Linked DNA regions of Kluyveromyces lactis. The protein of the gene in region 1 purifies or fractionates together with the protein of each later gene. This does not show direct contact. Links are inferred from orthologs where the notes say so. Each region holds a gene or a part of one and is shown on either strand. Other genes may lie near its edges.

The links.
Region 2: the proteins of FMC1 (region 1) and ATP12 purify together in Saccharomyces cerevisiae (affinity purification with mass spectrometry, with the first as the bait; 3 studies listed by BioGRID). This does not show direct contact. The link is inferred for Kluyveromyces lactis from reciprocal best matches to the Saccharomyces cerevisiae genes FMC1 and ATP12.

Annotation. Positions count from the first base shown.
Region 1 is NC_006042.1:384,641-392,204, reverse strand, and holds FMC1 (Fmc1p), read left to right. Parts: upstream 1-3,901; coding exon 3,902-4,381; downstream 4,382-7,564. Other genes in the region: isocitrate dehydrogenase (NAD(+)) IDH1, read right to left, coding at 1,961-3,046; SGA1 (glucan 1,4-alpha-glucosidase), read right to left, coding at 4,664-6,373. UniProt on the Saccharomyces cerevisiae protein: Needed for the assembly of the mitochondrial F1-F0 complex at high temperature.
Region 2 is NC_006037.1:571,673-579,712, reverse strand, and holds ATP12 (ATP synthase complex assembly protein ATP12), read left to right. Parts: upstream 1-5,534; coding exon 5,535-6,518; downstream 6,519-8,040. Other genes in the region: CCAAT displacement transcription factor COY1, read left to right, coding at 1-1,623; KLLA0_A06336g (60S ribosomal protein uL22), read right to left, coding at 1,863-2,108, 2,518-2,826; ATG27 (Atg27p), read left to right, coding at 3,836-4,693; PFD1 (prefolding complex chaperone subunit), read right to left, coding at 4,900-5,241; RBH1 (Rbh1p), read right to left, coding at 6,642-8,040. UniProt on the Saccharomyces cerevisiae protein: Essential for the assembly of the mitochondrial F1-F0 complex.

The DNA.
Region 1 (7,564 bases):
GTCCTTCACCCTAACACTGTAATAAGTAGTGTTTGAACGGGCTCTTATTAGATCCTGGAAAGTCCCAGCTTATATGTATGGCAGATCTGAGATGGAAAAGATAAGTTCAGACAGGATAGTTTTATTGCATATAAGTATGAAACGAACTTGGTAACAATGTCAACTATTATATACCGGGGTGAATATGAGCTGTGTTTTCACGATTATCCCTTTACTGGTCATTAACGCTACTAATAGTTAATGGTCAGAAATGTAAACTTGCACACATGGTTGAGTCTGATGTACAATTGTATGCTCTTTATATATTATCATTGTTTCCATTACCAATCCATTAGCTTTCTTATGGCCAAGGCGACATACTGTGGGAAACAATAACGTAAGCTACCTACTTACATCACTTACTACCTAAGTTTGAGTGTGGATCTCATGAAAAGGACCAAAGCAAAATGCCCCAGAACAAGTAGGGAATAAGTCAACACTGAGTGCAGTTTGAAAACTTTTCAGAAACCTGTACAATACGTCAATAGTTTTTGGATGGGCTCCATAATCATTCTCTATTAGTTTTCCTACTGCTGTGATTTATGTGTGCATGAAAAAGTGGCATTTCTTTATTTTCATTTCTTTATTTCAATACATTCAGACATTCCCCTTTTTTGGGACATACTAAGACTCTCAACCTAAATAGAAGGTTCAAAACCCGAAGTCAGACAAAGAATATCTCCTCTAGCAACTTTACCTACCAGTGACCCACCGGTGGGTCACCGGTTGATCGTTCGGAGAATGAAGCTCAGAATAATACCCAATCAAAATGGACGTTAGATCGGTTCTAATGGAAAAATCTCATTTTCCATTTTATTTCCTACATCGCAATAATACGTAACTTATGTCTGTGTGGCACGCTGTGACACTAAGATACAGATGATTATAAATATACTGTTTGTCTCAGAGGAGAATCAAGATTAATATATGCCCTGCTATGTATCAGTGTCATTCAGGCTACAGGATGGCAACATTTTGTCTTCGGATAGAACCACTAAAGCGCATTTCCTGGAAAAAGTGGTTTTCTTGGTAAAGAAAATAGTTCGATTGTCACCCGTCACATGACATGATATTGCATAGCATAGCATATCATTGCCTAATCCGAACTTGGCAGAGCAGGATACTGGGTTGCTGTATCCATTAGCTCATTCTTACTGCTTGCTGTTTCTTCGAGATGCCATCGTAGAGATGGCTGCTGTAATATTCCAACTTTTACAAAGCTGTCAGTCTTTTCTATTATGTAAGCCTGCTGTATTTGTGTGTACTGTTTTTTATTGTTCTCGAATTCGAGAAATGTCAAAAACCAGGACATATTAGGCACATAGATGAGATGTATGGAAGGGGCCTGATGTTACCTTTTCGGTCCGAAATAGAAGCATTTACTTTGTATCCATCTTCTTTCGATATGCACTATTAGCTGATAGCTTACTTAGTTAGGTGTCAGGGAAATTTAAGCAGTTCCATTTATTCACTAATGTTGACTCACAATAGACATGATTTTTTCACTCGAGAACTGCTGCAATGTGAAAGCGATCACTACATCCAAAAGAACACTAAACACATTGGAAGGGAGCATCAACCACCACTAGTAAACTGCTATATATATAATCGTTGTATTTACTATGGTCAGGGAAGAAACTTAAGGATTGTGTTTTTTACTTGATGCTGTATCAAAAGAATTGAACGTCGTCGTGATTGTATATATGATTTAAAAAGTTACGTAATGGAATTTAGTAAATAATCATCTATTGATTTGATCTTGAAGATTGTATATGTTTGTTGGAAGTGACTGTCTTCATTCAGAGGGACAGGACGGTAAAGAAAACATGTTTTCTAGGAGGTAGAGAAGGATATTATAAGGATCAAATTTCTTTTATTTGTTTTGTGTGGATAAAAAGATGTCATAATTTCCTTGATGTGATCATAACTTGGCTAACTTCTCGATAACAGCGTTGGTGAACTCAGAAGTGGAGGCTGAACCACCGATGTCTCTTGTTGTTGACTTACCTTCAGAAATGACATCATATGTAGCTTTGGAAATTCTATCAGCGTAAGCGTTCAAACCTAGATGTCTCAACATTAGAGTAGAGGACAAGATCATAGCAGTTGGGTTAGCAACGTTTTGACCCTTGATGTCCAAACCAACATGTCTGGAACCTGGTTCAAAGACAGCGTATTCTCTACCGAAGTTAGCACCTGGGACTAGACCGGGACCACCGATCAAAGCAGAACCAATGTTACCCAAGATAGAACCGTACAAGTTTGGTGTCACCAAAACATCGAATTGATGTGGCTTGGCAACAGCTTGCATGGAAGCGTTGTCAACGATGATGTTCTTGACATCGAGTTCTGGGTATTCGTTAGCACCAATTTCATTAACGGTGTTTCTGAACAAACCATCACCCAATTTCATGATGTTAGCTTTGTGAACAGCGCAGACCGACTTTCTGTTGTTTTTCAAGGCGAAATCAAAGGCGAATCTAGCAATTCTTTCTGACTTAGCCCTGGTCATGATCTTCAAAGATTCAACGACACCTGGAACAGATTCGTGTTCTAAACCAGAGTATTCACCTTCAGTGTTTTCTCTGATGATAACCATGTCGATGTTATTCAATCTAGTCTTGACACCTGGAATTGATTTGAACAAGGCGACATTGGCGAAAATATCCAGTTGCTTTCTCAAAGCAACGTTCAATGAGCCATGACCGGTTTGGTCGGCTGGAGTGTGCCAGATACCTTTCAAACCAACCTTGTTTCTCTTTAAAGATTCGACAGCTCTTTGTACATTTTCAGTGTTTTCTAGACCAGAAATGTCGATAGTTTCCCAGTCGATTGGAATATTTTCGTTTTCGAAGATCTTGACTACTGAGTCGGTCACTTCCTTACCAACACCATCACCTGGAATCAAAGTTACAGTGTAGCGACCACCGTACTTCTTTGGCAACAATTGTTCAGCTGCTAGGGTAGCGAAGGACTTTTTTTGAGCAGCAATACCTTGTCTCAACATTTTTTTCTATGTTCTTGTAATTTAGTATGTAATACCGGGAATATGAGGGGTTTTAAGTTAAAATAAAAGAGCAATTAACTCGGAAATGAGAAAACCTATTGATCTGATATAATGACTATTGTTTTAAGCTTAATATAATTCGAAAAGAAGGGCACTTCAAATTATATCTGGAATATTGTTTCTTAGTGGAGAAGGGAATTTAAAATAAACACAAAACCTTTAGAAAAAAAGAAAACGAATAGAAATGATAGTTATAACACTAATGGCAGATCCGCTAGTTGTTCAGGCAATTGAATTGGCTTTCTTCACTGATCTTTTACAGTGTTCCTTTTCAGTTGTTGATGTAAAATGAAAGCGGTTGTGATTCAAGGTTTTTAAATCTCTCTGGACAATTTCCATATTTTGTATTTATATACTTATCATGCCAATTTCTAACAAAATTTAGGTCACATTTGATTCCCCTGTGTTCAAGTTGGAAAGTCGGTCCCGCTGCAGTATAATAACAGTCGCGATCATGTGACCTGGGTTCCGTTCTCGGCATTGAGTCAGTCAAAAAACGAACAAGAGGAAAATAAAGAAAAGTGACAAAAAAAAAACACGAATCATTACCCGGAATGAAATATATCTTCAGATTTACAGAAGAAACGTGAAAAAGGTTTCACGTGATCTGGATCGACAGTTAAAGAGAGATTTGACTGTTGAAAAATGTTTCGATGAGTTCTGTATTAGATTGGTGATTCTAGCATGTTATGAGAGTACTCTGCCTTGACATATTATAATAGGCATTATAGGATATCTCCACTTATCATTATCTCACAGAGCAGTGATAATATAGAATATATTAAGGATCATACAATGAGTGAGCTAACGTTATCGACATATAAGTCACTATTGAGATCACTTGTCCGTAGTGCGAAGCACAATAAAATCCAACAACTACAGCAAGATACAAAGAAACAAATAGCCTTATTGACATACAATAGGATCCAATTAGTGAGACAACAGCAGGAGAAGGGCCTAGATGCAATGGCAAGAAGCAAGGTATTAAAACAGCTCAGTGCGGTTGGAAAAAAAATTGAAATTTTGAAGACTAAGGACCCATTGAAATCTAAAGAGCTATTATTTTACAGCCATAGCAAACATCTCAAAGATATTGTTCTATCGCTGAAAGATGACCCGCGTTCTCTTCAACATTTGAAAGATATTGCGGCCTTTGTTGTCAATCAAAGTGAATACGAGCAGTTGATCGAAAGATATAATCCAGGATTGAAAATGTCACAAGAGGAAAAAGTTCAAAAGACTGCTAACAAGGTAGGTCTACAAGTTCCTGAGTAATAGCAACACGGTCAAGTTTAACCATACTGCTGTTGGAAAAGCTTTTTAGAGACGGTCAATAAATGTAAATATTCTCGTATTAAGCTTGTGTTTTTTTATAGATGTTTTAATAGTCAATAATGCAACGATCAATGAACTTAGGATTCAGTACTTTTCTTTGTTAAGTAAAGCAGATACAAGTAGCAGCTAAAATTTATCATTATCAAAGTATTTATTCAACCTATATACTTTTCATTAACAACTTGCCCCTTTACATTTTATTCGAAAGAGTGATTCCATGTCTTATATGGCAATAGGATGGATGAATCGATCGACAATTTCCCTCCAGCGAAGTGCATTGCTGAAAGTACCGTAAGACCATGTCAAATTTGGAGCCCCTTGGTTGTATCCATGATATTTGTTGAACTGTTCGCTCATCGATCCGTCGTTACTTACATGCTCGTTAACTTTGCTTAGGAATGAATCACCGTATTTGAATATTGTGTACAACGTTTGGTTGAACGCTAATGTATTATATGGTATCAAGATCAGCGAATCCTTCATATTCCCAAATTCGAAGAATTTAGTCCAGAACTTGTTCGATATCGGATCAATGAGTAAAGGTTTCTCATCGTGATACATTTTATTGACTAATTTGTAAATCAATTCGGCAGAGGTTAACGTTGAGATAAACCAGGGATTACCTTCAGAGATGTCAATTCCATCATAAATATCCTCTGGATATCTCCCAATGGCAACTCCCATGTTTGTATTAAGTCTGTTGTGATTGATCGGGTAAAGTACTGCCATTCTCTCAATTAGTTCATTGAAATGATTCAATATGAAAGGATCATCAATATCAAACAAGAAGGAATCATAAACGGTGTTCATATCTTTTATAGAATCATCATGTGTCAAGGTGCTTGCCATGATCACAGCAATGTCTAAACCTGACCTTTCATCCAAAATACTGGGGGTTTCCACAATGTAACCCTTTTCATGATTTATAAACCCTGAATTGGCATCGATGATAAAATCCTCAATTTTGTCTATACAAGTCTCAATATCCTTCAATAGTATAGTCAACTGCTTGCTCAATTTTACACCTTTTGCTTCCGACGTTAAAAGATATCTCTTACCTTCTACTAGCGCCTTCAATTGAACCATACTAGTAAAAAAATGATAAGCACGCACTTCTTCCCATAGGTCATACGTTGGAATATGCCAATTATATAACACAAACTTCAAATCTAAGGCAATTACCTCATCAAATATCCAATTGTATTTCTCGGTTTCCCCATCGTCTACCTGGTTCAAGAAGTTCAACAATGCAATAGCTCTTAATGGTGGGCCATCATTCTGTGGTCTGCCCCAGACAAGTTCATAAGCGCTGTTATCAACATGATATTTTGGTTCTCCCAAATTTCTGAACAAAGGATCATCAGCTGGCCCACTGGGATTAGATTTATGTTGTAAATCCAAAGATGCGTTCACGTAATCCAAGACTGTCTCAAGAGTCCGTTCCCTATCAATATCAAGATACGTATTAATTAAAGTGTTTATGGTGATGGCACCATCTCTAATCCAATGATAGAAATAATCTGGTTTGTTCTTGGAAGGAGACGCAAAGACAACACCAGGAGTACAATTATCAAATTTATCTGATGTTTCTGCATGACAAATGTTTTCGAACATATGATAGAAGGAAATCTCCGTTTGTTCTTCCAACCATTTATTGAAATCATTCCTTGAAATGTTCTTCGAGACTGGGATTGGTTGCAATTTGAATTCAGATATCCTATTGAAATCTGACACTTCAATTAGTGGAGATGACCTTGATAAAGGGCACTCTATACTGTGATTCGCATTGTGATTCCCAGCTTGAAATGGTGATAAAAGGAAATAGTATGCTAATAACGAAGAAATGCAAACGAAGGACAGAAAATAATGTGAGTGCTTAGGTATTCTCGGTTTTCTTGAGCTTTTACTTAGCATCGTATTAGGGTTATTCATGATGCAAGCAAAACAAAAAAAAGGCAAAATTAGATGTCTGATCTATCACAGAAATATAATAATCTTCGAGCCAGTAGCGATACAAGACACTCTAATTGAAGTTTCAGTAACTATATTGGCAACTTATTTCGTTTCTATCCTACTGATCTCATTAATATCGATACTTTTGATACAGCAACAAGTATAACAATTGCAGATATATCACACAAAAAAATGGGAAATTTAAATAGCCAGGAAAAAAAAAACCAGACAGAAATCGAATAAGCTAGATTGTGTCACCTTCGAGTGACACAATAACAGATGTGACTTCTCCGAGAACTTGTAAATATAATTTTTCTTCAAATTTCTGTCCGCAGTTCCTAGATCGCGTTTTTGTGTTATCTCAAAAGTTGAGATGTCTTGCTTGAATCCTTTTTTTTTCAATCCCATGCCCTCCCCTAAAAATGAAATACTACATTATTGGTATTGGGACAAAAGAGAGTTGTTACCCGTCTTTTGGTCACTAGGTTAGTATTGACTTTTGCGGAAAGGAAAAACTGGAAAAAAAAAACCAGTCTAGTCCCAAGTCGCAAGTCACGTGAAAGTGGTGTTACTCGTAAATATGACAACGCCCAAAATTATGCTCTCAGCGTTTCCATCAACCAAAGATACGCACGCCAAAACACTCATATAATCATGATTGCCGCCTATTTATGATGTGTTTTCTGTAACTTCAAGAACTTCTCTTCGAAAAGTGGCGACCTTCACTGCCTGTAGCCACAGCGAAATAACAGCCGCATCCCCCGCCTCCTAGCTGGGTTGGCTTGGAATCATTTTTATGCGAGTGTATTGTTCCGATTAACCGGATACAGACGTATTCCTCACATCTCCCACTTTTAGTGCAAACTAAACCTGGCGTATATTCGGGTAACGCACCGGATATTCTCTCCACTTACCGTCCTACAAACTTTTTTTTTCTGATCTCACGTTCCATCTCTGTGTAAGGTTGACGTCAACAATTATCACTATTCCATCATGTTGGAAAAACGGAAAAAGAAAATACTGTTGATGTCGGTCAGTACTGACGCCACTAAGAATATTGCAGACAATTGCAGAAGGAAGGGGACTTCGAGCGTGATAATTTGTGATTACTATTATCTCGAGCCTTTTTTTTTCCAGCGTAGCACCAATCATTGGCTATAGATAGGTTTC
Region 2 (8,040 bases), on another chromosome or scaffold:
AAAGATGGCACAAATGTCGATGATATCAAAGCTGAAAACCAAAAATTGGCGGCAATTGTTAGCAAGTGTGCCGATTATGACACTTTAAAGAAAAGATTATCGGATCTTGAACAAAATTCGGCTAAGACATTATCCAATAGATTAATCGCCAAAGAGAAAGAAATTACATCCAAATGGGAAGAAAAGCAACGTAATTGGAATAATAGAGAGGACGAATTATTGAAACAGTTAGAAACGTTGAAAAATACCAATAGCATCTTGGAAAAGAAAATAGGTGCTCAGGTCGATTTGGAGCAACAAGAAGATGGCGATGATGACACCGTTCTCGTTAGTGGAAAGAATAGCGCTCAAAGTGAGCTTCTGGTACAAGAACTTGAGGCTGCACAAATTCGTATCATGAGTCTTGAATCACGTAATGAAGAATTAAATTCTGAGGTAACCAAATTGAAGAGCGATGAACAACAGGATTCCATATTTCAAGAGAAAGAGACTAAATTGAACCAATTGGAAAGTGAAAATGCTAAATTGGTTACATGTTTAGAAGAAGAACGCAAGAGTTTGAAGGAAACATCCCAAACGTTGAGCTCACAATTGAAATCATCTGCACTTGAAACGCAGACTTATAAATCGGAATTAGAGACATTGAGACGCAAGTTAACGAACTACTCAGATTATGAAAAAATAAAGCAAGAATTGAATGCCATGAAGAAGATTGAATTCGGAACCAGTGATGACAGTGACAACGAAAACGATGATGGTGATGACTCTATCACCAGTTCATTGAAACATGCGAACCAAAAACTCCAAAATAATTTGGTGAAGGCCAATACTGAAAAGAACAAATATATGAACGAAACCCAAACGCTCAAGAAAAGCATAGAAGCTTTATATTCTAAGATTCAAAATCTAGAAACTTTGAATGCGAAATTAGAAGCAGACATTGAGAAGGTCGAAGATGTAACGAACCAATTCTCCGATACACAATCAATGATGTCAGGGGCAACAAGGCAAATAAGTAATAGACATGCCACTAACGAAAAACTATCTCCTACAAGCTCAATCATTGGAATACCAGAAGAAAAAGAACTAGATACCTTCTCCGGCAATTTTAACGGCTCTCCATCTATCCTACCAATTGTCACCAAACAGAGAGACAGATTCCGCTCAAGAAATCTAGAGCTTGAAAGGCAAATAAAGCATTGTAACCAAGAACAGACGAAACTTAAGGTACAAGTGAAGGAATTAAAGGCCGATAATTCCAAATTGTACGAGAAGGCAAAGCTACTAAGTTCGTATTCGAACAATTCCGCAGTGCGCAATACAGTAGATTTGGAATCTCCATTTTCCGAAGAATATGAGGAGTCATTACATCCATTATCTAGTTTCAAAGAAAGAGAGCTAGAAAGATACGAACGACGTAAGATGCCACCCTTGGAAAGACTATTCTTGAGTTTTGCAAAAGTTATTCTAGCGAACAAACAGACAAGAATGCTATTCATGTTGTATTGCCTTGGATTACATGGATTGGTGATGGTGATGACTATATATGTCACAAGTTTCACCAACTACATAACTCCAGACGTTAGCTCCTCATCAGGTAGTATGATTAACACCAATCAGTGAGATACAGTGGTCATTCTTTTTTGTATAATTTCCGTTTATAGTTAATTATGAAAACAGGTAAATCGTTCACAGGAATGTCTCCTGGACTGGCAAATACCTTACAATGAATTAGGTGAAGTATTCTTTTGGGAACGTATGTTGACTGATTAAATTAGTATACTCAGAGGTTTGTGTAAAAAATTACTTAAATGTTATGATATTTATTTGAGAAAATGTTTGGATGGGAAGATCCAGGAAATTTAAGCAGTGATTCTCTTTTGAGTAGCCAATCTACCTCTTTGTCTGGAGGACAATCTAGCAACCTTCTTTTCAGAAGCCTTTTCAACAGCTTCTTCCTTTTCAGTAACGACCAATTCGATGTGAGATGGAGAAGATTCGTATTTGTTAATTCTACCGTGAGCTCTGAAGGTTCTTCTTCTTTGCTTTGGAGCTTGGTTAACTTGAATGTGAGAGACGTACAATCTGGTAGCGTCTAAACCCTTAGCCTGTGGAAATGATTAATTGAAATTACAACGGATGTAATTTTTGATAAAATTTGTTAGTAAAAGTTTCATTTAATTTGGTATAGTGGGGAGAATAAGCTGTTAGAAGTTAGTTTGCTGAGAATGGAATATCTTGATTCTGGTGGTTCACATTTTAGTAGCTCAGGTTATGATTATTCCATGATCATAATTTCTGATGAGTTGTCTAGTTCTGCAATATCATATCTTGTCTTGTACTGGCTCATTTCTGTACATCGTTCTATTTTGTATCGGTCTCATTTGTTCATATATATGCCATCGTTTTCGCCCCACGTATTCATTCTTCCAACATATCCATCGACTCATCCCACTAATTCGTACATCACAGGGCCTACACCCTATGTGTTTCACAATATCAAATGTTATAACATACTTCAGCGTTAGAGGCAGCGTTTTGCAACAAACCTTGGACGAACTTGACAGACTTAGCTGGCCATCTAGCCTTGGTGACACCGAATTCCTTACCTTGGGCAGTTCTACCAATAGAAGAGTTGAATCTTCTGAATGGAATAGCTCTTTGGTGATCCAAAACTTGGTCCAAGTACTTTTGAGCCTTTTGTAAATTCCAACCACTGATAGCTTGAGCAGTTTCTCTGGTGTTCTTGTAAGAAACACGCAAGTAGGAACCACGAGCAGAAGCAGACTTAGCTGGGTTAGTGGAAGTAGCACCGTATCTAGCCATTGTGTATCACTCTGTTTGAAGGTCTTAGTTCTCGGTCCTGTATCAAAACACTAATTAACACGTCTAAACCACTACTCTTTAATATATGGTAACAATGTATATATGCTATATTATCGTATATTCTTTATTCACAATATTTCCAAATTTCCAAACCTGTAAATTGATTCTCACGGTGTGGCAGGCGGGTTTCCGTCTGGGAATGAAAAATTGGAAAGGTGAGAGCCAGCGTGGAGGAATTGCTGCTAGGCAGGAGTTCTGCCTACCGCAACGGGAGACTAGGCAGAGACAAGCAAACCGTAGCAGGAGGAGGCGCCAGAGCAGCGAGGGACCTGGAGTTAGAGTGAGCCCATGGCCAACGTCCGGCGCATCATTGAGTGTAAGACTGATGCCGGTGAATGTGATAGGGGGAGCATGGTAGGTTGAGGAACCGCCTGGGTTGCTGAAACTTACCACTCTGGAGCCGGGACCGGTGTGGTTAGTGGGAGGACTGTGCAGAGAGAGGCCCGCCCTGAGATTTCCGTCCTTCTGCCTAGCTGCATACAACCTCAGCTGTTCAACGAATGAAAAATGAAAAATAAACTTGTCACCTAATTAGGATGTTTATATTATAGAGAATAAAGAAGGAGATTTATGGGTGTTAAATATCGCATGTAAAAGGATGCACGGGCTTAAACAGTCACAAGATGGATATTTACCCGGCCACATATATTTCCCCTAAGCTAATGACATTTATCAGATAGGATTAGCATTAATATACAACGAGTTCTTTACATTTCCATTTGAACCATAACTACTTTTGAAGCCCTATGTTGTCTACATCAGGTATCCAAGCAAGGTAACTACGCAAATAATTAAGTGCTGAGTACATACAGTGCCCTTTGAAAAGTCGCCTCTTCTCAAGATTTCGCTCTAATAAGAGTTTATTGTTGTCTCAGGGGAGTTATATATACCGAAAACGGGTTTATTGAATAATTCCAAAGGAAACTACGCAAAACTATACATACACGCCATGAAAGTGCTACTAGCAACCGCTTTAGTATCGCTTTTGCCATTTTCTTCAGCGGTAGAGTGCTCTAAAAACGAAATCCTCAACAAATATAGAGTCAATGAGTTTTCCATAGGCGGTGTTTCTGTACAGGATACACCACCAAGTGAGACTAAAGAGAGTTGGTGGTTGAATATTTGTGATGAACATGATTCCAAATCGTCCATACCTGACCAATGTAATGTGAAGGATATTTTTTGTGGCGTTACATCTGTTGCATTACCGGGGAAAGAATCAATTGTCACCAAAGTGATGGATTTCACCAGTTCTGTGGCCCTTGAAGTGAAAGAAACCGCGGAAGCATTGTCTATAAGGCTTTCTGGTGCCGCCTGGGGGTCTCATATCTTGAATGCTGATATATATCTACAATGCCAGGAGAAAGGTTCGGGTTCTTTAACGGAATCCAGCTGGACCGATGATCAAAATGTGAAACTAGTGTTCTCTGGTCCATTTGGTTGTTTGAAAAAGGGAAATGACAATAAAGATGGCAACGGAGACGACGATAACAATGATAAGGATGGTGATGACTCCGATAAGAAGCCTCACGATGGTGATAAAAATGGATCCAAACCAAAGGGCGGAGCTGGTCTTGGGTCGTGGCTCGTATGGCTATTCATGTATGCAACTATCTTTGCCCTTATTTATCTCGTGGTTACTTCGTATATGAACACTAGAAACGGTTCCTTTAACGATTTCCGGGAAGAGTTCGTTGATAGATCGACTACGTTCGCTACCAATCTCCCACAATTCGCTAAAGAAGTGGCAGGGAAAATCGTAAATAGTGGTTCATCGTCTCAAAGAGGCGGATACAGTGCGGTTTGATCGAATGTACCTCCTCCTTGACGTGCGATGAATAAAGACCACATGTATTCTGAAATAGAGAATTCTTAATGTACAACTATATATAACATTACCACTGCTAAATACTTTAACTCTATTCTATGATGAATACGACTTTTAAGGGTACTATCTTCCCACATTGCTTGACCCATACAAAAACCCCTGTCGATGCCGACTCAGTAGTTGATTTAATTTCCAATGACTCTTCTCAAACTCTCTACCGTGTTATCGACTGTGGTCTGTAGGTAATGTCTCTTTTGTTCCAATGCCTTTATCTGTTCGTCCAATATTCTTTCATCATGGTTTAAATCAGCAGTGTAGGCTTGCTTCTCTTGACGGATGAACATCTTACCACAAGATCTCCACACTTGCTCATTTCCATAATTTCCCAATTCCTTTTCAGTCAACTTAGCAATCTTTTTTTGCCTCTGTAGTTGTTCCAGTTGTGCAAGCGTCATATCCAATTGTGATCTGCTGTTACGAAGAGAATTTGCCATCTCCTTTACTATATCTTGCGGTTGAGAGCTCATTTTGTCAAATTTGTGTAATTGAGTATCAAATTCTTTGCACTATGCCTCACAGATCTAGATTGACTACTGCAAAGCCAGCGTATGACTCTTACATTTCAATAGTTTCCATATCATCATGCTTAAAGCTTTAAATTTCAGATCGTGGAAACTTTATAATTTTATTTTTTGAATCATTATAGTAGTGAATAAGTACAAGATGCCCGAATAGAAATGAAAAAAAGGTTGGACCAAGTTCTCCAAAGCCCTTGGTTCAATTTACATCCAGTGATACTTAACAAGAATTGTTTGCAAATATGTTAAGATTGAGCAGGCCATTTCGTTTGGTTTCGCCAACTGTTTTATCACGAGTCAGATGTTATGCACAAGCTTCTCCATTAGGTGTGGATCACAGTATCGAGAATAATTTACAAACAGAGACTAATAGATTGTCCAAGACTTTGACTAAGTTTTGGGAACAAGTGAGTTTAGAAGAAACCCCCGAAAATGTTACCATTAAATTGGATTCTAAGCCTTTGCGTACTCCTTTGGGGAACCCTTTAACTTTACCACAATCTCGTAAGCTTTTATCGGTTATGGTTCTCAATGAATGGAGTAATCTTCCTAGTTTATCTGTCAAGCCTTATGTTTTACCTTTAACCTCTTTAGTTTCCCGTTGCATTGATTTGGAAAAGGCCAATGAGGACGGTGTAGACCCAGAACTTGTTGCGAAGATAGGTGGGAACAGAGAAAAGTTAACTGAAGGTCTTTTGAGATATTTAGATACTGATACTCTATTAGTGTTTTCTCCAGCAAATGAATACGAAGGTGCGCTAAGAAAGGCTCAAGATGAATTGTATCTACCGATAATTTCCGGTGTCGAAAAGTTCCTATCTCAAATAAATAAAGATAAGAAAGAAGTCAAATTACAAATATTGGACGCTGATTTACATGGATTGAGAGGTAACGCCCAAAGTGGAGAGACCAGAGAAGTAGCTAAACAGTATTTGGATTCTTTATCTGTTTGGGATTTAGCCATTTTCGAGAAGACTGTCCTAACAACAAAATCCTTTATTTGCGGTCTATTATTGCTATTGAATAAATCGGCAACTGTCACAAATATTCCTGAGTTACAAGTTTCCATGGAAGATATTGCAAGAGCAGCTACCCTCGAGACTATTTACCAAGTTGAAAGATGGGGTGAAGTTGAAGATACCCATGATGTCGATAAACGTGATGTAAGAAGAAACATCCATGCAGCTGCGATTGTTGCATTCGGCCCACCAACCTCGTCGAAATAGATGATAACAATCAAGAATAAATTAAAACTATACTTACTGTACATATGATTAATAAAGAAAGTTTATAACTAAGAGTTTGGGAATTCAAAGGTAATATTCAGACACATCACAAGTGTTTCGTATTTACAGAGCACCTAGCAATTTATAGGTCTCGTCAGCTACATTTTGATTTTTGAACTCTACTAGACGTTCTCCAGCTGAGATACCAGTCCTTCCAATTCTCTTCAGGTCCGATATGGATGAAATGAACGACTCGGTGTCATCCATCTCAAATTTACATCCAGCAACTGATCCATTATATTCTCTAGAGTAAACATTCAACAATCCAACTTTAGTCATCTTCCATCCGTATTGCTGGTCATATTTATGTAATCGCACCTTAATTTTTGATAATAACAGCAGTGATTTACAATCTTTACTGGAATCTAGTACTTGCGGTTTCGACCAACCATGTGATAAATCGTTCGAAGCAGTACTGGACCTGCTAAATGACATATTTGAAACGTTATTACTCAAAATTGATGATGAATTGGACCCCAAGGTCAGCTGTGTTGCAGAATTTGACATGTTGTTGCTTGAGGTTAAAATCACTTCGTTCTTTTTGCAGTGTTTAAGCAAATTGGCAATGTTATCTACCTGAGGACATCTCACTGAAAGCAAGGTTGGAACTGGCTCCGCGACAGAAGCCACAACGTCGGTTGGTGGGAATCTAATTTGAATGTCTTGAGCAGTAGTTCTTGAAATTGTCCATCTCTCACCAATGGCAATACAAAGCTTTAAGTTAGAGTTGTCATCTTGTACCACGAACATGTATCTGCCTTGGTTGGAATTGACGACCTGCAATTGTAACCAACTTGAGGAGAAAAATCTCCATGAATTGTTTCTCCATTGCGATAATTTAACAAGGGTGTCAAGAAGGACGTTATTTGTGTCCAACTTAACGCTGGAAGGTAGTTTGCAAGTTGAAGGAGATAAAGTACTTGAAGATTTTGAAGATTTTGAAGATTTTGACGTAGAAGACGGTGTTGATGCATGCGAAGACATTGCTGACTCTGGAGGGTGTATGCTTTTTGTGTCTGAAAGTTTTGCCAAGCTATCAGTACTATTCTTTTGACTTTTTGATTTGTCTTTCTTGAATAGATTCAAGAAAGACGATGACTTCCGTTTAGTCAATTGAGGTTTGTGAAATTCAGCCGAAAGATTAAAGACTGGGGACCCTCCTAGACTCCCTTCGTTATTAATTCCATCATCATCAGAAATGATGCTATCAATATCGTCAACTCGGCTCCCAATTACGGGACTCATTTGTTCTATGATATTTGAGGGTTCTTGGATGTGTCTAATATTGGTGGGAACCGGTGATTTCATGGAACTATTCATGGTTGAGGCATCGGTACTGTCATTCAACTCCATAAGTTTCTTCATGTTCAGTGACTCTATTTCTGATATAGACAGTGCTTCTGAAGCCAACGGTTTAGATTTTCTTAGGCCAGTGTCGAGGTTTGTCCTCACTTCTGACTTC